2 linked regions of the Lepisosteus oculatus genome follow. The main gene of each other region encodes a partner of the protein of the gene in region 2 in a complex. Links are inferred from orthologs where the notes say so. Each region holds a gene or a part of one and is shown on either strand. Other genes may lie near its edges.

What was found.
Region 1: the proteins of beta-arrestin-1 (region 2) and ntsr1 are in contact, whole or in part, in a cryo-EM structure (PDB 6UP7), measured with the Homo sapiens proteins. The link is inferred for Lepisosteus oculatus from reciprocal best matches to the Homo sapiens genes ARRB1 and NTSR1. Residues at the interface, in NP_004032.2 of Homo sapiens: Tyr63, Arg65, Asp67, Leu68, Val70, Leu71, Gly72, Leu73, Thr74, Phe75, Arg76, Lys77, Asn245, Thr246, Ala247, Gln248, Tyr249, Lys250, Lys284, Arg285, Gly286; in NP_002522.2 of Homo sapiens: Ser93, Leu94, Gln95, Ser96, Leu97, Gln98, Thr100, Val101, Arg166, Ile170, Pro173, Lys177, Phe286, Ser287, Met288, Ala289, Ile290, Ala297, Leu298, Gly301, Ser368, Asn370.

The regions. Positions count from the first base shown.
Region 1 is NC_090711.1:3,524,597-3,533,180, forward strand, and holds the start of ntsr1 (neurotensin receptor type 1), read right to left. Parts: upstream 3,277-8,584; 5' UTR 3,011-3,276; coding exon 2,339-3,010; intron 1-2,338. UniProt on the Homo sapiens protein: G-protein coupled receptor for the tridecapeptide neurotensin (NTS). Signaling is effected via G proteins that activate a phosphatidylinositol-calcium second messenger system.
Region 2 is NC_090700.1:2,564,600-2,573,288, reverse strand, and holds the start of beta-arrestin-1, read left to right. Parts: upstream 1-5,585; 5' UTR 5,586-6,118; coding exon 6,119-6,138; intron 6,139-8,689. UniProt on the Homo sapiens protein: Functions in regulating agonist-mediated G-protein coupled receptor (GPCR) signaling by mediating both receptor desensitization and resensitization processes.

The sequences.
Region 1 (8,584 bases), on a different chromosome or scaffold from region 2:
TGAAGCATATTCCAGTTACACCCCAAAAAAAACGCTAAATCTTGACATTTTTTGAGAAGGTTGTCTGTAGAAAAGGATTCGAGCTCGTGGCGCAGTGGCACAGCGCTGGGGTGCTGTCTGCGTTGGGTCTGTATGTTATCCCCGTGTTTGCATGGGTCTCCTATGGGTGCTCCGGCTTTGTTGCTGGGTAGTTTAATTGGCTTCTGGGAAAACTGGCCCTGGTGTGAGTGTGTGTGCCGTGGGATAGACTGGCGTGCAACCCAGGGTGTACCCTGCCCTGTGCCCGTTGCTTCCTGTGATAGGCTCTGGCTTTTCCGCGACCCTGTACTGGATAAGAGGTTTTTGAAAGCGATTTGGCAGTCTACCCCCTGGGTGCTGCAATGCCTGTGTTACAGGGCTTCTAAAACTCTTCTGTGAGTTGATTTTACCCTCTACACTGCTGTTCTGCTTTTACATTTCTTACACGCTGAGCATTAAAACACAGCAGTGAAGCACTTGTGAAATTGGAAACATTTCAAAGGTACAGTATTTCGCTGCCTGCCTGCATCGGCTCAACAGAAACGCAGATCTTGTCACCTAGACAACCTCATCTTTTCCTTTGGAGATCTCTCCCTGCGCAGGAACACAATTCCAACATTCCCCATGAAAAATACAGCCGAGCCAAGCGGGCTGTCTGCTTTCCCTCTCCTGCACACAGAGTGTGGGTTTTAAAATGGGGAAGAATGCTGCTTCGAGCTCAGCCTCCACTGTATTGCAGACTTCAGGCGGTCCAAACTCTGAATCTCTGGTGGCCGCACAGCAGAGCCAAGCTCCTACTGCCACGTCAGGGTTAAGGTGTATATCTGTCAAAACAATCTCATCAGAACACTCTGACATCGTGGATGTAATTGAAATGCTCCCAGCCCGTGTGTGCAAAGTGCAATGTATCCCATACCACGCACTGTGATGGGATGACTTTGTGAGCAAGAACGCATTTGTGAATATTGCTTATTGCACAGGGTAAAATCTATTGTAATATATTATGTTTTATTGTTGTGGCTATTGCTTTCTGGGCAATTGTAACGCATAATCGGTAGTTCTAATGTCCACGACGTGACCCAGCCGGAGAACATTCCTGAAGTGCGCTCTGTGCTGCGCAGGGCTGGATGGCTGTGTCTTCTAACAGCACAGTTTCGACGCACTTACAGTAGCATTAATTGTGTTGTTTTTTTGTTGTTTTTTTCATTTTCGGGACCAACATTTTGCGATAATTTATACAGAAGGTGTGATCTGTCAAGGGTAAATATTATTCCTGTTAGAATGGGGAAAATCTCCTGTACGACGAGAAGTGAACATATTTAAAAATAACGACTGGACATTTTTATCTTTCAAATTTTAGGTGACTTCTAAGGGTCGTTTTAGAAAACAGAAAACCAAACCTAAAACTAACAACGGTGCATAAATATTTCTTAAGTAAGCCAATCTATTTTTTCCATATATTACAAGACCACACGACTTGTTCTATGTATTAAAGAAGAATGATTATTTTATTTTTTTACCAGTTTCCTCCATCACACAGCGCGATACACGACATGTACTGTACCACCAGAAACCGCGGCGCAGGCAGGTGTAATTGAAGCACTCTCGACTGTAATGACATTAATTATACCCATTGAGCACATTCTTCCGTTTCGTTTTAAACAGTAAACGTCACGTAGAGCGTGTCTTGGTGGGGAGAATAAGTGTCAAGTACTGAGGTATCTGTGTGTTTCTGTTGGATTCAGACAGTCCAGATCTGCTTCATGTCTTTTCTATAAATCTGGACTTTTTTTTTTTTACTCTTACCGGGTTGTTTAAAGGACACCCGTACTGAACAGAGCGACGGAGCTCTCTCCAAGTCTGTCGAGTCCGGGCCGTGTGGAAGTGGCGCAGTGCCGGCCGCACTGCCTCAGCGGCTGGGCCCGGGAGTCGTGCGGTTCCGCTGGGGCCGTTCCTGCTGCCCGCAACGTTAACGGTACATGCCGGCGTTTTCTGACGATCGTTTTATTTTTTTAAAGATGTGGTAAAAGTTAAACAAGCAACAGGTAGTCCTTGGCGCGGGATAATGTTTAAAAAATGTCTTACCGACTCTACTTATGACTTATTATCGTTGTTAGAGTTTAATAACACTACCCAAATACTACGTAACTGTGTTATGAATGTTACAGAACAGGTTTAGGACAGTCGACCGACTGTTTTTACGCGCCACCGTGTTTCTCCACTCGATTCGCCCGGAGCTGAGCTGGTGGCTCGGGTGCGAGAAAAGCGCTTTTTTGTTTTGGGGGGTTTCTTGTCTTGTCGCGAAGTCCCTTTCACTCACCTGCAGGACGATCTTGGCCGTGTGCGTGGAGACTATGGTGGTGCAGATTTGAACGTTGTTGGTGTAAGTCTGGCCCATGGTGAACAGCATGGGGGTCGCCAGGAGAAACGACGCCACCCAGATAGCGCTGATCAGCTTTTTTGTTCTGCTCCTGGACATGATGCTTTTGGCCTTGAAGGGGTGGCAGATGGCCATGTACCTCTCCACGCTGAGGCTGGCGATGTTGAGCGCCGTGGCGTAGGAGCAGCCGTCTCTCAAGAAGTAATACCCTTTGCAAACGGCTCCCCCAAAAGCCCACGGGTAGTGGACCCAGATGAAGTTGTACAGCTCTATGGGCATGCAGAGGAGCAGGATGAGGATGTCGGACACCGCCAGGCTGGCCAGGTGGTAATGCACCGTGCTCTGGAGGTTCTGCAAGGTCTTCCTCCTGACCAGGGTGTACAGCGTGATGGAGTTGCCCAGGGAGCCGACGACGAACAGGGCGATGTAAATGGCGGTGACCAGAGCCTTGGAGTAGATGTCCGTGCTGACGTCCAGGCTGTCCTCCTCGTGCTCCCCGGGCGTCGCGTTCGCCGGGCGCGAGGCGTTCCCGGCCGCCGCCAGCAGGTACTGGCTGAGCATCTGGAAGTCCCGGGAGAAGTTTCGGCCCAGCAGCGTGGAGGTCTCGTCCATTGTGTGGCCGGGCAACTTCTTTTTCTTCTTCTGCTTCTCCTCCTCCTCCTCCTCCCTTTTTTTCCCGGGGAACGCGGGGCGGACGGCGCGGAGAGAGGCAGGGAGCGCTCGGCGGTGTTCAGCGCAGCCCAGAGCGCCGCTCCCCCAGAAGTTGGCTTTTTATCTGGCGGAGGAGGAGGCGCGCTGCCTCTCTGCTCAGACCTCGGGCACTGACGCAAACCACTTCATTCATGAAGTCTGATCGTTTCCCTGTTTTATATAACCAGGTTTCCTCAGATACACCCCCCTCCCCCCCCCCAAAGAATCGCAAACACCTTTAAAAATTAAATGTTAAACGACAACGATTCTATATGCAGGGCGGTTTCTTATACTTTAGGTACATACTGTTATTTACTGTCCATTTGTTGCATCGATGCTGATCTAAAGATGAAACCCTGTCTTTCTGGTGAACAACGATGAGTTTTTTTTTTCAACCTGAAAGCTATAATTAGTAATGCGTACTTGGAGAAACGAATGCGAACAGAGGACAATATTACTACTTGGCGACACAGTGTTGCGTCTGCCTCAGATCTGTCTTATCAACGGCATCTTAGCTTTCTTGTTCATATTTGTATTTAAACTCACGTTTTCCCAAGTAACAAAAGGATAATAACATTTGTGTTTTTGTAACAACAAGGATACTTTAAAACATCACCCGCAGAGCTCAGTTTTGTTCCTCGGGAGGTGTGCCTTTTTTTCGGCGTCTATCGTCCTTCTTTTGACTTTGTGAGTCTTACAGGGTCTACGAGACAGTGAGCGCCGATTCGCACCCAGAATGAGAGGTGCCAGGCGAGTCACAGACGTGCCCGTTTGCCCTAAATCGACGATAACCCTGCAAGCGGAATTCGAATAAATTTTTCTGAAAAATCCCTCTCACTGCTGGCTGACTGTCCAGACTCAAACCAGCAATACCCCGGACATCTGGGCTTAACCGATACAGCAAATAAGCATCTCTACTATTTGAGTGTTCAAGTCTGAATTGAAAGTAAAACCACTGTTACAAAATTTCACATTCCGGCCTTGTACGCTTTTTTTCTTTAACGCCCATACCCGGGGAGAAAAATGACAATGTGATCATTTCTACACAACCTCCTTTTGCAGCACCCATAGTTAAGAGTCGAAACCTTGTTCTCTGCGGTTTAAAAGCCGAAGAGCACTCTTTAGGATTGATGTGGTTTAACCGTTTGAGGGTATGTGGAAGAATGCTGCCGTGCTCAGGCTGAGCGTCCTCACTGCTTGCTAATTAGCCATAGCAACTGTAATACCTGTCCTGCCCCACTTTCTAGAGAACAGCGTGCGTGAATTATAAAACTCATCCTTGACACACACACACAAACAGCCATTCGCCTGTTTTCAATACCCTGGCTCTCCCGGGATTGTCTTTCAATACCGAATTGAAAAGGACACACTCGTGGTCACAACCAGCTGTTCTTCAGAAAACCCTGCCTGTCCATCTCGGACGCGGCGCGCAGAATTTCTCTCCTTTGCGCGCCGAGAAGGAGGCGGTAGAAGTGAGTTCTCGGCACCCCCCACAGGAGGGACAACGAGTTGAGAGCATCTTCCAGTCCAGCAGGTCCTGCCAAGCTGGAATAAGTGCTCCAGCATGCCTGAGGACGTCTAGGCTGATGTAAATGCTCTTGATGTGTGAAGATGGGAACGGCTTTCATCCCCGAACGTGGGGTTTGAATGCGCGTGTGAGCACTCACCGGCTCTAGTGCTCGAGTTTCAGTAGCATGAGCAAATGGCTCTTCTGTCATGATCTGATCTCTGTTCCCGTTCCTTCCCCCATCCTGGTGGTTTGCAAAGAAAGTTTCTAGCACAGGGCCACCCACAGCTGGGAGTTGCCTGGTGGTGTATTTAACATGAGCCCTGTTTTTTTTTAAATAGAGCCTAAAAAGAAACGAATGGAAAATGTTCCGATTCAATAAACATTCCCCTGAAACAGGAAGGGTAGATGAAGGATTTGACACTTTGTCAGTGTGTTTCCCACAAATTACATCAGTGCTTTGGTCTCTCCCATCTTGTCCACTACTTTCCCACAATTGTTTTGGTAAGTATATTTATTGCAAAATCAATGATTTATGATATTGGGAAATGCCCAATCTAAAAGGCAGTATCTTTCTTTACCCAGTGTATTTAGTCACAGACACAAAATTAGCACAGGGTCAGCTGGGATATGTTAGGACACTAAGCAAGGGGATTTAATACAGTACTAATCATTTAAGACACCTAAGTGGCTTCATTTTAAGGAATTTATTTACTAGAATTAGTAGTAATTTAGTAAGTACATTGTGATGGCCATTGCTCTAGCTAACCCACCGATACAGTCAAGCCTTCGGCTGGGGAAGCTGGAGAGACGTCCTTCTCCCAGGATGCAACAGCTGGAGCCCACCCAGGATTCGAGCCCACAGCTTTCCAGTCGGGGTCCAGGGGCCCTAACCTGCCACTAGCTTGCAGCCAGAACAGGACCCGGTGTAAAACTCGCCGTGAGTTAGCTCGCTGAGAAGTGTATTCTGAGAAACTGAACACGGACACATTCGTCATTTTGAGGTGACGGGTTGCAGGAGTGGTCTGGTGGCACAGGTGAGCTGCATCTGCCTATAAACATTGATAAATAAGTGATTCTTCCTTTACTGAACTGGGCATATGGCTTCAGGTGTGTTTTCTTCATGTATCATTTTCTCCTGTTACGTCATATTTAGTCCTTTTTTTGTTGTTTGTAAATTATGAGACAGAATTCAATGCGGTATGGATCTTCAATGACTTCTGCAAGCCATTGGAATTGTCACTGAAACTGCACCATTGGGATACCATACGTATAATATTGTGCTGACATTATGTGTTGGAAGATCTCATGTTCAGACAGTGGTAGAAGTGCAACAATAAAACAACATGCGTGCCAGGGGTTAAATTTGATCATTAGCGGAATGAAATGCGAGTCAAACTGGGATGAGTCACCAGTGTCACCTAATGACAACCACATCTGTCCCGTTGAGACCTGAATACAGGAGCAACTAACTTTGGTCATCGTGGTTGGTGATCAGACCAGTTTTGTGGTTGTAATTAACTGAATCTCCTCCCAAAAGGAATTAATGGAAACCATGTGATCGGAAATAAGCACTGGAATCCAGTACCAGAAAAAAAAGTCACACTTCAAGTGGTGTACCTAAAATGCCCATCACTCCGACGGCTGTGAAATGAACTTGTTAACACGCCTCAAACACAAGCTCTCTGGTGTCTGCAGCCCAACCACAGCAAGTCAAGTGAGTACCGCTCTCGAACTGAATCAACGGGGGTATTAGATTGAGCTGAACCAGTTTTCTTAGAACTGAAAAGGAAAAGGTGTCTTGACACCTGAGTTCTCGGCTTGCAGTGGTCCATCGGCTCCTGGCTTTCTCTCTCACAACGAGGCCGTACTATATTCCGGTATTCCGGAGCTGGTTAGGAATTCTAGGTTAGCTTTCGGGATGCTCATGGGAATAGGACAAACCAAAGTGTGAAATACAGCAGAACAGGAACAAAAAAGACCTTGGGGGGGGGGTGGGGGTTATAATATTTATTTTTTATTGTCTAACCGCCCACAGTAGGCTGTCAGTGAGTTGAAAGCAGCAGTGTTCCAGCGTCCAGTCAAGGATGGGGAAAAAAACGAATGAGTCATCGCTTCACCCGTGTTTGATACCATTTATACTCCGTACGTCAAAGGGTTTCACTGCTTCGTTAATCTGTCAGGCCTGTCCCCCGGCCTTCCCAGCCCCGGTGGCTACAGTAATTACGGTACTCCAGGCACAGCCAGATGAGTCAGAAGACATATCAGAGGGCGAGCAATTTACATCCATTTATTTGACATTAAATGCCTCAATGATTCTCTACTTTAGAATTCTCCCTCCCTGGCCCCTCCATCATTTTGGAATCTGTACTGGCCGGGTAAACCGGCTCTGTCTGTTGTGACCCAGGTTCGAGGCGACAGTGTCTGGGTCCATGTCTGGACCCCTCATGGCCGGCTGCTTGGGTGGTGAGGCCGCTGCTACGAATGATGAAGGAGCTGGTTGACGCTATTCCAGCAGCCCTATCGAGAAAACCACGCGCCCTGGCACTGAAGAATTTGGTCGGGTTCACCAGTGTGACCCCGAGGAACGCCGCACGGTCACAGCGCCCTCCTGAGGATGCTGCGCTGGCCAGCCCCGGCTTCACTCACTCAGCAGCATGAGGCTGGGCGCAGTCCTCCACAGCCCCGGGGGAGTGTGTTCCTCGTGGTGACCCGTTTGCCCTGAGGGTCAAAGCCTGCCGAATGAGAATTGTTTTGATCCGAGTTCAGTCCGGCCCCACGACCCCCGCTGTGTGGTGTGCACACAGCAGAGGGTGCTCAGCATGAGCACGTTGAAAGCTACAGCACCAGGTTTGCCACAAAGGTCTGGGTGGAGTTACTTATGATCAGCTGCCTCATTTAGTCATTTTGAGATTTCAGCAGGTGTCATGAATCAAAGGCAGCAATGTGTGCTGCTAAACAAAACTTGAGCTGTATTGACATCTTTTCAGTTTATTCAATATTTCGTGTTGTTTGTCGTTTCAGTTCTGTGCACCTCTACTGCTGAGGGTGTTCAGATTATGACAGCAAGAGTAACTGGAATTCACTCACCAAACGCTAAGCTTTTTACAGGTTTGCAGACATTTAATGCCACAGAACAATCAATGTAATGGGAGAGAAAGGAGAGCTTGATTTATTTAATTTGACTTACCAAGCGCTTACTGTATAAAAGAACAATTCAAAGAATGCAGCATTGTGGGATTGTTACTATTATATTCCATGGTCCAAGTCTTTTTGACATACAGTCAAAAATCTCTTTTTGTGCCTTGTACTTTGTACTGGTTAATTAATCTCTAGAACATGGCAACAGACATGTGCCTAATCACTACTTTTCCCTTTTCAGTAGAGATTAGTTTGGAAAATCCAGGGATCAGAGCAACACTGAAAATGACTGACAAACATCCTCCTCGCAGCTTTCCCTTCTGACACTTGGAGGCACATTGGTCTCCAGAAATGCCATTTAACACATCTACGCAGAGAGCGCAGTCTCAGATTGACTAATAATTCCTACCCTCCTGGGTGCTCATTTCTCAGCTTGTTTAATCCTGTATCACTGTGTTCTGCTTTCTAGAGCCAGGGAATCAACTATAAAGCCATAGAAATCTACAGAGACAATAAACAGTCATTTGCAAGAATTCTGCAAGCCAGAAGACATGCACTCAGGACATGAATTAAGAAGTGTAGCTTGTTTAGGTGGCCTTGGTAGAACCATAATAAAGCAGTTATCTGGGGAAAAATATACAGTAATTACCAAGTTTGCAAGAAGGGCTGTGTAGAGTGCTTCAAGCAAAAGTCAGTAGAAGGTAATGCGAGCAGATTACATAGCACAAATCAAAAGCCCAAACAAATTAATTCTCTTTGTGCAGCTTACAAGAGAAATAACTAATACCAGAAGCTTTAGAGTTTCTGGGGTTTTTTTTTAGGCAGCATCTTATTCATCCTTGAAATAA
Region 2 (8,689 bases):
AGAAAAGAAAGACCCAAAATAAATGAAAATGTATTAAGGGATCAGACATTTACTGAACAACTCTTTTCACTCTTTCTGTGAGTGATAATAAAATCTTTAGGATGACCATGTGGCCCAGAGGATAAATTAACTATTTTTTTTCTATTATTTAAGCCAAATTTATTAAGTTTGTACTTATTATTTTTACTGCTCTTTTGAAAGCTTAGGTTTTCCAACATGTTGGTAAACATTTTTCCTCTGCTTTTGATAGATTTTATTATTAGATGTGTCTTCCATTCAGAAGTGCCATTATTACAGAAATCAACACTATTTGAAATATTTGAGCACTATGAAAAAGATATTGCTCTGCTAAAGTACCACATCGGTTGAATAGACCCACACTTAGACACAGAATGCTTCATTTGACGAGTTCCCTGGGCAGCCATAAACCTCTGGTAATATTGCACATGATTCTGGGCTGTGATCCAGGGCTCTCCACCCATGCTGCCTGGAGAAACGGCAGAGTTTGCCATCTCAGCACATTTTTACCTTTAAGGAAATTTATCAATCCCTGAGAAGAGGTGGGAATAGCGGGAAGATGGAGTGCACTGTAGACTAAAACGGTAAACGCTGATGCAAATGCAGGGAATATTTTCCAAATCTTTCTCCGAAAATAATCACCCAGGTGCAATGTGACACTTGCAGTATTCTGTAGGTGAAGTCAAAGGACTGGATTTCAGTAACTCTCTAGGATTCCATTGCTGTTGTGTATTGTTAATGCATGTGCAATAATATTTGAGAAGGTCATGGCTAAGGAATTATTATAAAGAAATTAAGTGGCCTTAATTAAGAAATCACCTTTGCTAAAAAGTGATTTTCTTTTGGGGGAGGGGTAAAATTGGGGTAGAAAAAGCAGATTGGAAGGGACTAGCGGATGCAGTTAGAATATAGATGTTTGCTTGCTAATACTTCAGTAAAGTTACTGAAAAAAACCTACAGATTTAGGTTTCTTTAATATTATCAATATTTTGTTTTTATATTGTTTTTTTTTCATTTTTTTACTTGGTTCCATTTAAGCCATGGGTATCAAAGATGTATACTTATAAACAAGATATATTACAGCGATTCAAGTAGAGAGCTGCCTCAGCATGTGTAAGCTGCAAAGGAACAAGTAAAGGTTTATTCCATGCTGAAAAGAGAAGAAAAAAAACAATGTTTCGGCTGTGGAGCCTTCTTCAGTGAACTTTTTCCTTTGCATATTACAGTGATTACAATTATATATGATTGTATCTTGAAAACTACCCCTATCAGCCATAATGTGAATATTGTTATGTTTTACATGAATCCATTGATATTTCTGTAAAAACTAAAACTACACAAGAGAGCAAAACTACATTATAGGAATGTTTCTTTGTTTTTGTAGCATAAAGGTTAGATATTAATGTTTCTGATATCTTGAATTTTAATACACTTTGTTAAAAACAAAAACTCTTTTTTAAGAATTGTTGTTCTTGCATCATGGTACCCTAAATGTTAAAAACATATTCAGTTGGGAATATTTATCATTTATTGTAACATCCTTGCAAAACATTGCTGAGCACTACACCAGACAAAGAAGGATTGTTACTTGTAGATTGTATATAATATCATTATCATGCCTGACTGCACTCCAGCATGCTGAATATCTTTAATGGCTCTGAAAAGGGTAATTAACATAACTGAAAAGCTCCAGCACTTTTGTGGTACAGCCCTGTGCCCAACAGGAAAGCCACACATCCATTTAGCGATTTTGTATTTTGTTATTTTGTAGATCTTCAACCTATAAACAAGTTTTCTTTGCTTCTGGATGGGGGCAAGTCGTACCACACAGAGCATTTTTTAAGAATTTGCAATAAAGTGCAAAGACGAAACCACAATCACACTTCAGAGATAGAGGGTGTTTTACAAATCCAGTAAACTGAGGCACATGTAGGACAGGAAATGTTACCTTAATTGTTTTATAAAGAAAATAAACTGAAAACCAGCTTTATACTAAAGGTTTCTGCTGTTCCTGAGAACTCCCAAACGGGTTCTCAGTATCATGATTACTTCTGTGGTTGACGGACTGGGGCCGCGCTGTCTGTCGTTAAAAGAATCCTCTCAAACATGTTGACACACATGAGAGCGATTTTCCTCAACCAGCAGACTGCAAGTAGCCACCAGGATTTGAAGGGAATCTTTCCTGAGCAGATGGGCTGCACTCTGAAATGATACTGAGACGAGCAAATCAGCCCTTAAAAGTAGAGAGGACTCCGAGGAAAGAATGAATAACAGGAACCAAAACTTGTACTACAGCTCTGCCGAAGAACGAACTCAACTGTGAGTGCCAGGGCCTCTCGTGTGCATCGCCACGTCTGTGGTGCTCACTGCACAGTCCCATTAGAGACTGTCACTGTTGACACTCCCGAAACTCAGACCTGCCTTTTGCATATGTTGTGTGCTATTGCACAGAGGTTTCAGTTTGAAGAAAAAGGGTTATAAATAAAATTATATTATCATGAACTGTCCATTGTTCATGCTGCTACTGCTGCCTTTTCATTCTCTGAATTTATTGCTGATATTTTGTTAAAATTACAGCTTGGTTTTATAGTGTATGAGGTACAAGGGCATTTGAAAAAGATTATTCTGCAAAGGAAGCATTATACTGCGATTATTTTGATATTAATTAGGCAGCACACCTATTTGCACTTTCTTCTTTATGTTTGTTTCTTTAGTAAATAAAGACCATAGGATATAATCTGTATCTTGTTGACACGCAATAAAGACCATGATTGCTCTAAGATGTTGTATTTCATAAAAAAATTGTTTTTGTTTTTAAAGTGAATGACCCATTATAGTGTCAAAAACGAGTCTCAATTTTTTTTACCAGAGTGTATCTGAGATATGATTTTGTTAATACTGGGAATCATTTACAGAGCAAGAATTTTTCTTTGTTGGCTTAATACGTAGAGAAAGGATTATAATTTTTAAACACAGTACTTGGATGTTGACCTGAAAGTCATCTTGTCATTGATCTGTATCTCACTGTCTCCCACTGTAGGCATTTAAAATGAAAGACTTCAGCTTGCTTTCTTGTTAAATTGATAAAAGATAAAAATCTTTTCTCCCCAGTGTAATAATCTTGGCCTTTCTGACTGCAGATGTCAATATGCATCTTTTGTGACTGCTTTTCCTTGACGATTAAAAACAAACCTAGTATTCATAGCCATTTTCCCCACTTACATACTGTATGTAAATTACAGTTTTCTTGAACACACTGATCAATGTGTGGCTGTACATTCAAAGCTAAATCTGTTAAGTCAAATATACCTGCTGATAAAAACGTAAGGAGGTTGTGACATCAGGTAAATATACTCCAGATGTTTTAAAGATAACAACTGATGCTGATATCTGGAGGTCAATGACAACGCCACCTGTGTCAATCTGTTTTGATTATTGTGCAGTTCTGGGTCTTTAAAATCTCTCTTATGATCAATATGTGAGAGCTGATATTCATTGCTCTACAACTGTGGAAAAGCATCTGGAGTAACAGGTTTTTTAACTGAACTGGGCAGGGCAGTGAGCTATGACTTACTGTACTGTTACATTTCTAAAAACACCTGTTGCAAGTGATGTGAAAGTCTACGATTATTAGGATAGTGAAAATATATAATTATTAAAAATATACAAAGAGAATTGAATATATGCTCTGGGATGTTATATTGTATTGTATATGGAGGACAAATCTGGATTTAAGTTTGGGAGACACAAAGCCCAATATTCCAATGCACACTTGACCACTGGGAATTTCAATGACCTGCTAAGATTAAAATGTAATCTGAATGCCAAAAAGAAAGCATGGCTCACAGTTTCACCCTTTGATGAAAGGGGATTGAGCCAACACTTGAAATGTAGAGCTACCTGTGAACAGAGAATTGCCACGCAACAGATGAGTTTTGGAAGCTTTTTATGAATTTTGTGTGGCATAATCTAATTGCAAATGAGAAAAGATGCTGTTTGCGTGGAAATCATATTTATAAATTATGTTATGGTTTACTGTAGGATCTAGATGTGAGGCTGAAAAAAGAAGTATTAAGGAAAATGTGGCACTTCTTAAGGCTTCCTAGCTTATGACAATGCTGGTGTACATTTTAACGTGAGTGGGTCATATTCTATGTGTCATACAATGCTGTAGCACTTTTTTTGTGCTTGCCTAGGGCGTTTTGAAAAACTCTCTACACAGTACATTCACTGCTGCAAAAATCCAAGGTCAAAGTCTTTGTCATTGACTGAAAATGAGTGCTGAGAAAGAAATGACAACTTACGGAACACAAAACCTGTGTTTGACAGCTTTGTTTGCTGGAATTAGTGAAAATATTGATTGCTCAAGAAGGCACTGTCTTTACGGTAGAAAAGCTGCTTTGCACGCTGACAATAGTTCTGTGTGGGTTGCTGCTCTGTGAAGGTTGGTGCACAAGAAAAAAAGATACTCAATTAAATTGAATGTTTTGTGCTTGTTTTTTTCCCCCACAGGGTTTTGAATATTAAATTAAAATAAATATAAAACGATGGATCTGCACTAGATAATAGAGTAAAATTATATTTGGCATGGTACTGTGTTTAGTTTTATAAACCAATTGTATCAAATGGGTATCTTTTCATTATCTGTGTCATGCCTACATCACATGAATTCATAATCTATATTAGATAACTGTGACTTGTTGCATTGAACTTATGGATAGCTCACACCCCCCCCCCCCCCCACACACACACACACACACACATTCCTATATGATGCATCAATACATGAAGTTAAATTTCTGCTAAATTCAAGCATTTATGTATCTGTAACCATGGACCATAGAACACACAGCAATTGTGATGTTTGAGTGATGAACCAGACACATTACATGGCCTCCAAGGGGTGTTCATGGCAGCCCCATTCATTCTTTCTCCACAGTGTAAGGTCCTTGGTCCGTATGCATTTGATACTTTAATCCAGAGTGACCTTCTGTTCCTTAGCCTATACAGTAGCTTGCTGCCTTTTTTCTTTGCTGTTTGTTTAAAGAAATTACACTTAAAACTGATACGGTTTAATCAGACTCAATCGGAGAAATCAAACTTTAATTTAATCTCGTCTTTGAATAGCTGTCTTACTGCTGGTAATCATGGTCATGGTGAAAACCATGATATTCAGCCTGTAAAGGTTTGTGCTATGCGATTCCCCTGGTGTGCTATGCGCTAGTCAATTAACATATTTCTCACAGAGGTTTGCAAACTATGCATATGATGTGTATCATCTTCCATGACATTATCCCCTACATCCTCAAGGTGACTTGCAGTCATGCAGTCTGTTTGGCACACTATCAATTGAAATGACAGAGATAGGTGAGCCCAATTTATTGTTGGAGAGATGCACTGTGACACAACAGACCATGGATTTAATACAATGGTGTGAATATCAAAACTCAAGTTAATCCCATCCAGCACTTTTCCTTCACTGACCTGCAGTCAGGTCAGCATGTGACTGCTGTATTTTTTTTTTTTGCTGCCTTTCCTCAGCATTGTAGTTTTAAGCTGAGCAAGGGAGGCTGTGGCTTGAATGAGAGGGATGTTTCATCCTGACCGGCACACACGCAGACACCACACACACACACACAGATTGAGTGAGAGAGGGAGGGATACAGAGCAGCAGAGAAAGGGAGGCAAAGAGCTAGAACGGAACTCTGATGGAGGATTCACATTAATAAGAGTAATCTGGAGGATTCTGGCTGCACAGAAGCTTTAATCTGCGTATCTGGATTTACACTGCAATTCAACAATACTAGCCATATATACTAGACGAAGGGGAGCAAGAGGAAGATCAAGAGGAAATTCTAACAATTTATATTTTAAAAGAACAACAGGGACGCTGTTTAATTTCATTCACAGGGAGAGGAGTGTTAACAGCACAAAAAAGCAGTTTAACAGGAGCTCCACTTGCATTTACGTGCACATTCTAAGTGGCTGCCTAAACATAAGCAAGACCTCTTGCATCCTTTTCCGTATAGCAGACTAGTCTCCTCCTTGAACATTGGAACTAAGACTGAAGGCTGCTCTCAGCAACACAGCAAGCCTGACAATGGGCGATAAAGGTACAAGGTAAGGATTTCTTTGACATGGGTCGTATTTATTATTCATGTATTCTATTGGGCTTTAGTTCATATGTGGTTTTCTATGTATAGTAGCGTACATTCATATAACATATGCCAAATTAAATCCTTTGATGTCGTAATTGTGTTGTTCTTGATGCAGTCTTTTGTTTGTCAGCCTAAGGCAGTATAAGTTTTTGTCCCCCCTCTCCTTGCATGAACGTTGAATGATGTATCACTCTGCAAGCATGCAGTAAGACGTGTTAGTCTGCTCACACCCTCATTATGGGTCTGTGTGACTGTAAGTGCTCATGCTTGCTGGCTTGCTGCGTATTTTTATGGAACCTCATAAAGGACCATCAGTATTGGAATAATAAGCCTTGATAGAGCTCCGCCAGCAGGAGTGCACAACTAATCATGTATGTGCTAGATTTGCCAGGTTGTTATGGCACCACAATTAGCAGCTCATCAAGGGTCCGTCAGAAAACTGATACTTCACTATGTGTGTTCCTTTTAATGGATGCATTAAAAAGCTGATGCGGATACATAGGTATTTAAATTGGGTTTAACTATCTTTTCAAAGTTTGGACGCCAGTGAGCATACTCTTATCAGTGACCTATATGATAATGTTCACATATCTTCATGTCTTTTCACACTGTAGGTTAACAACCATTGTGATCTAGTGAGATATTCTAAAATTAGGAACTTTTTTCTCTGGTACACAGATTTTGGCAGACACCCATCAGAACTGTTTGACATTCCCTTTGATATACTGGTCTCTCTGGAATCTAGGAGATACATCCTTCTAATGGGATTTAAGATAGTTTGAGGGTCTGTACTGTAGATCAGCTACGACACCAATAGGCCTAGATTTCAAGGATCATAGCATCATGTAATGTTTGTATCATGATCTCCCATTAGTAAGGCAAGCTTTTCTTAACTAAATTCCTTTAGAACTTGAACAACTTAAGGAATTAAAAGCAAAACATTCGATTTCAATGAGAAATTGCTCTGACTAGTGACTCAAAGTGATTTACAACTTTCATTGGAGACTCAAAATATGATTTACTGTACATAATTTCTCCTCTTTCTGAAGGAAAAAGGCATGCAAAGGGCAATTTGCTTGAAGCAGAATGCGTTTGCAATTTGCTTCTTTCTGGTTGGTTGCCCATCACTTGTTTCAGTCCAAGTTCTTGTTCTTGTGAGCTCAAAAGTAACTTGGAATACCGCTGTAGTCAAACACTGCATCTCAGCAAATGTTCCAGCCTTTCACCATTGATACAGCCCAGTTTTCAACACTTGTTTAAAGTGCCAAGAAATAGGTGTCTCTGGATAAATGCTTTGTTTCTCTATTTTATTTATTCCTTATTTTTATTTTGTTCTTATTCGTGATGCTGTGTGTGGTTTCACTCACTCAATCACTTCACTTTTAACAAATTGGAGGTATTTTAAAAGCCTTTAATCTAAGACATTGTGAGACATTTTGCCTGGAAATGCATTGCTCAAAAACGCTGCTTCATACCTAATGAAGTGAAGCTCATGTTTAGCCATCTTGAGTCTATTCCTCTTCAAATTATTGTTCATTCTTTTTCAATCAAACCCCTGATTAAATTGATTTTGTGTTTACAATGATGGCAAGGTTTGCAAAACTAAAGACATAATTTACAGACTGATCATATTTTGCCAAAAGCTCATTTAAATTACATGACACTATTCAGAAATTCTTGTCATAGAAGCAGATGCACAACAATTCTGGGAAAACCATTATGAACAATGTGTTCCAATAGCTACTATATTTTCACTGTTTGAGGGTTTTGATTAAGTTACATGACAAAAGTAAATGTTTCTTATTGCAGATGTTGTACAGCAAACATAACAGTTTTAACTTGTACTTATAGAATGTTATCTGTATTTTGCAAGAGTGATGATACACTTAAAGAGTCAAAAGATTTTGACTGCGGCCTTTTTTTGTATATTCCTGGTTGTTATATTCCTGTTTGCTCCATATGGACAGTGCTGTATACTGTACTGTACCTATATATAAAAAGAACTAAAAAGCAATACTTGCCCTTATCAAAATCTGATATTAGTATCAAGACAGATTCAACATACAGATGGGGCAAAGAAATGCAGAGAACTGAGAAATTGTCCCAACCTGAAGGAGTATTTGCACCAACGGCATTAGCAGTGTTTAGGCAGCAAGAAAGCCCTTTATTCACCATCTTCAGAAACAGGAAAGGAGTCAAAGTGGAGCAGCAAGCTTACCTAGGCTGACCCATATGTGAGGCAGAAGAAACACCTGTTTCCCTATATGTCTGATCCTTAGCTAGGCCTTTTTCCTCAAGAAAGAAATTAGGCAACAAGAAAGAAATTAAAACAGAAGAAAGGCTACAAACAACAGGAAACTCTTAGCTCATTTGGTTGCTGATTGCTCAAGATCCTATAGTATCAGATTCAACAACATAGATGAGCAAAGGAAAATAAAAATGATAACAAAAAAGGTCAGGAAGGTGTTTACCACTTGAAACTGAGATCTACAGAGAGATTAGGCACCTTAGCT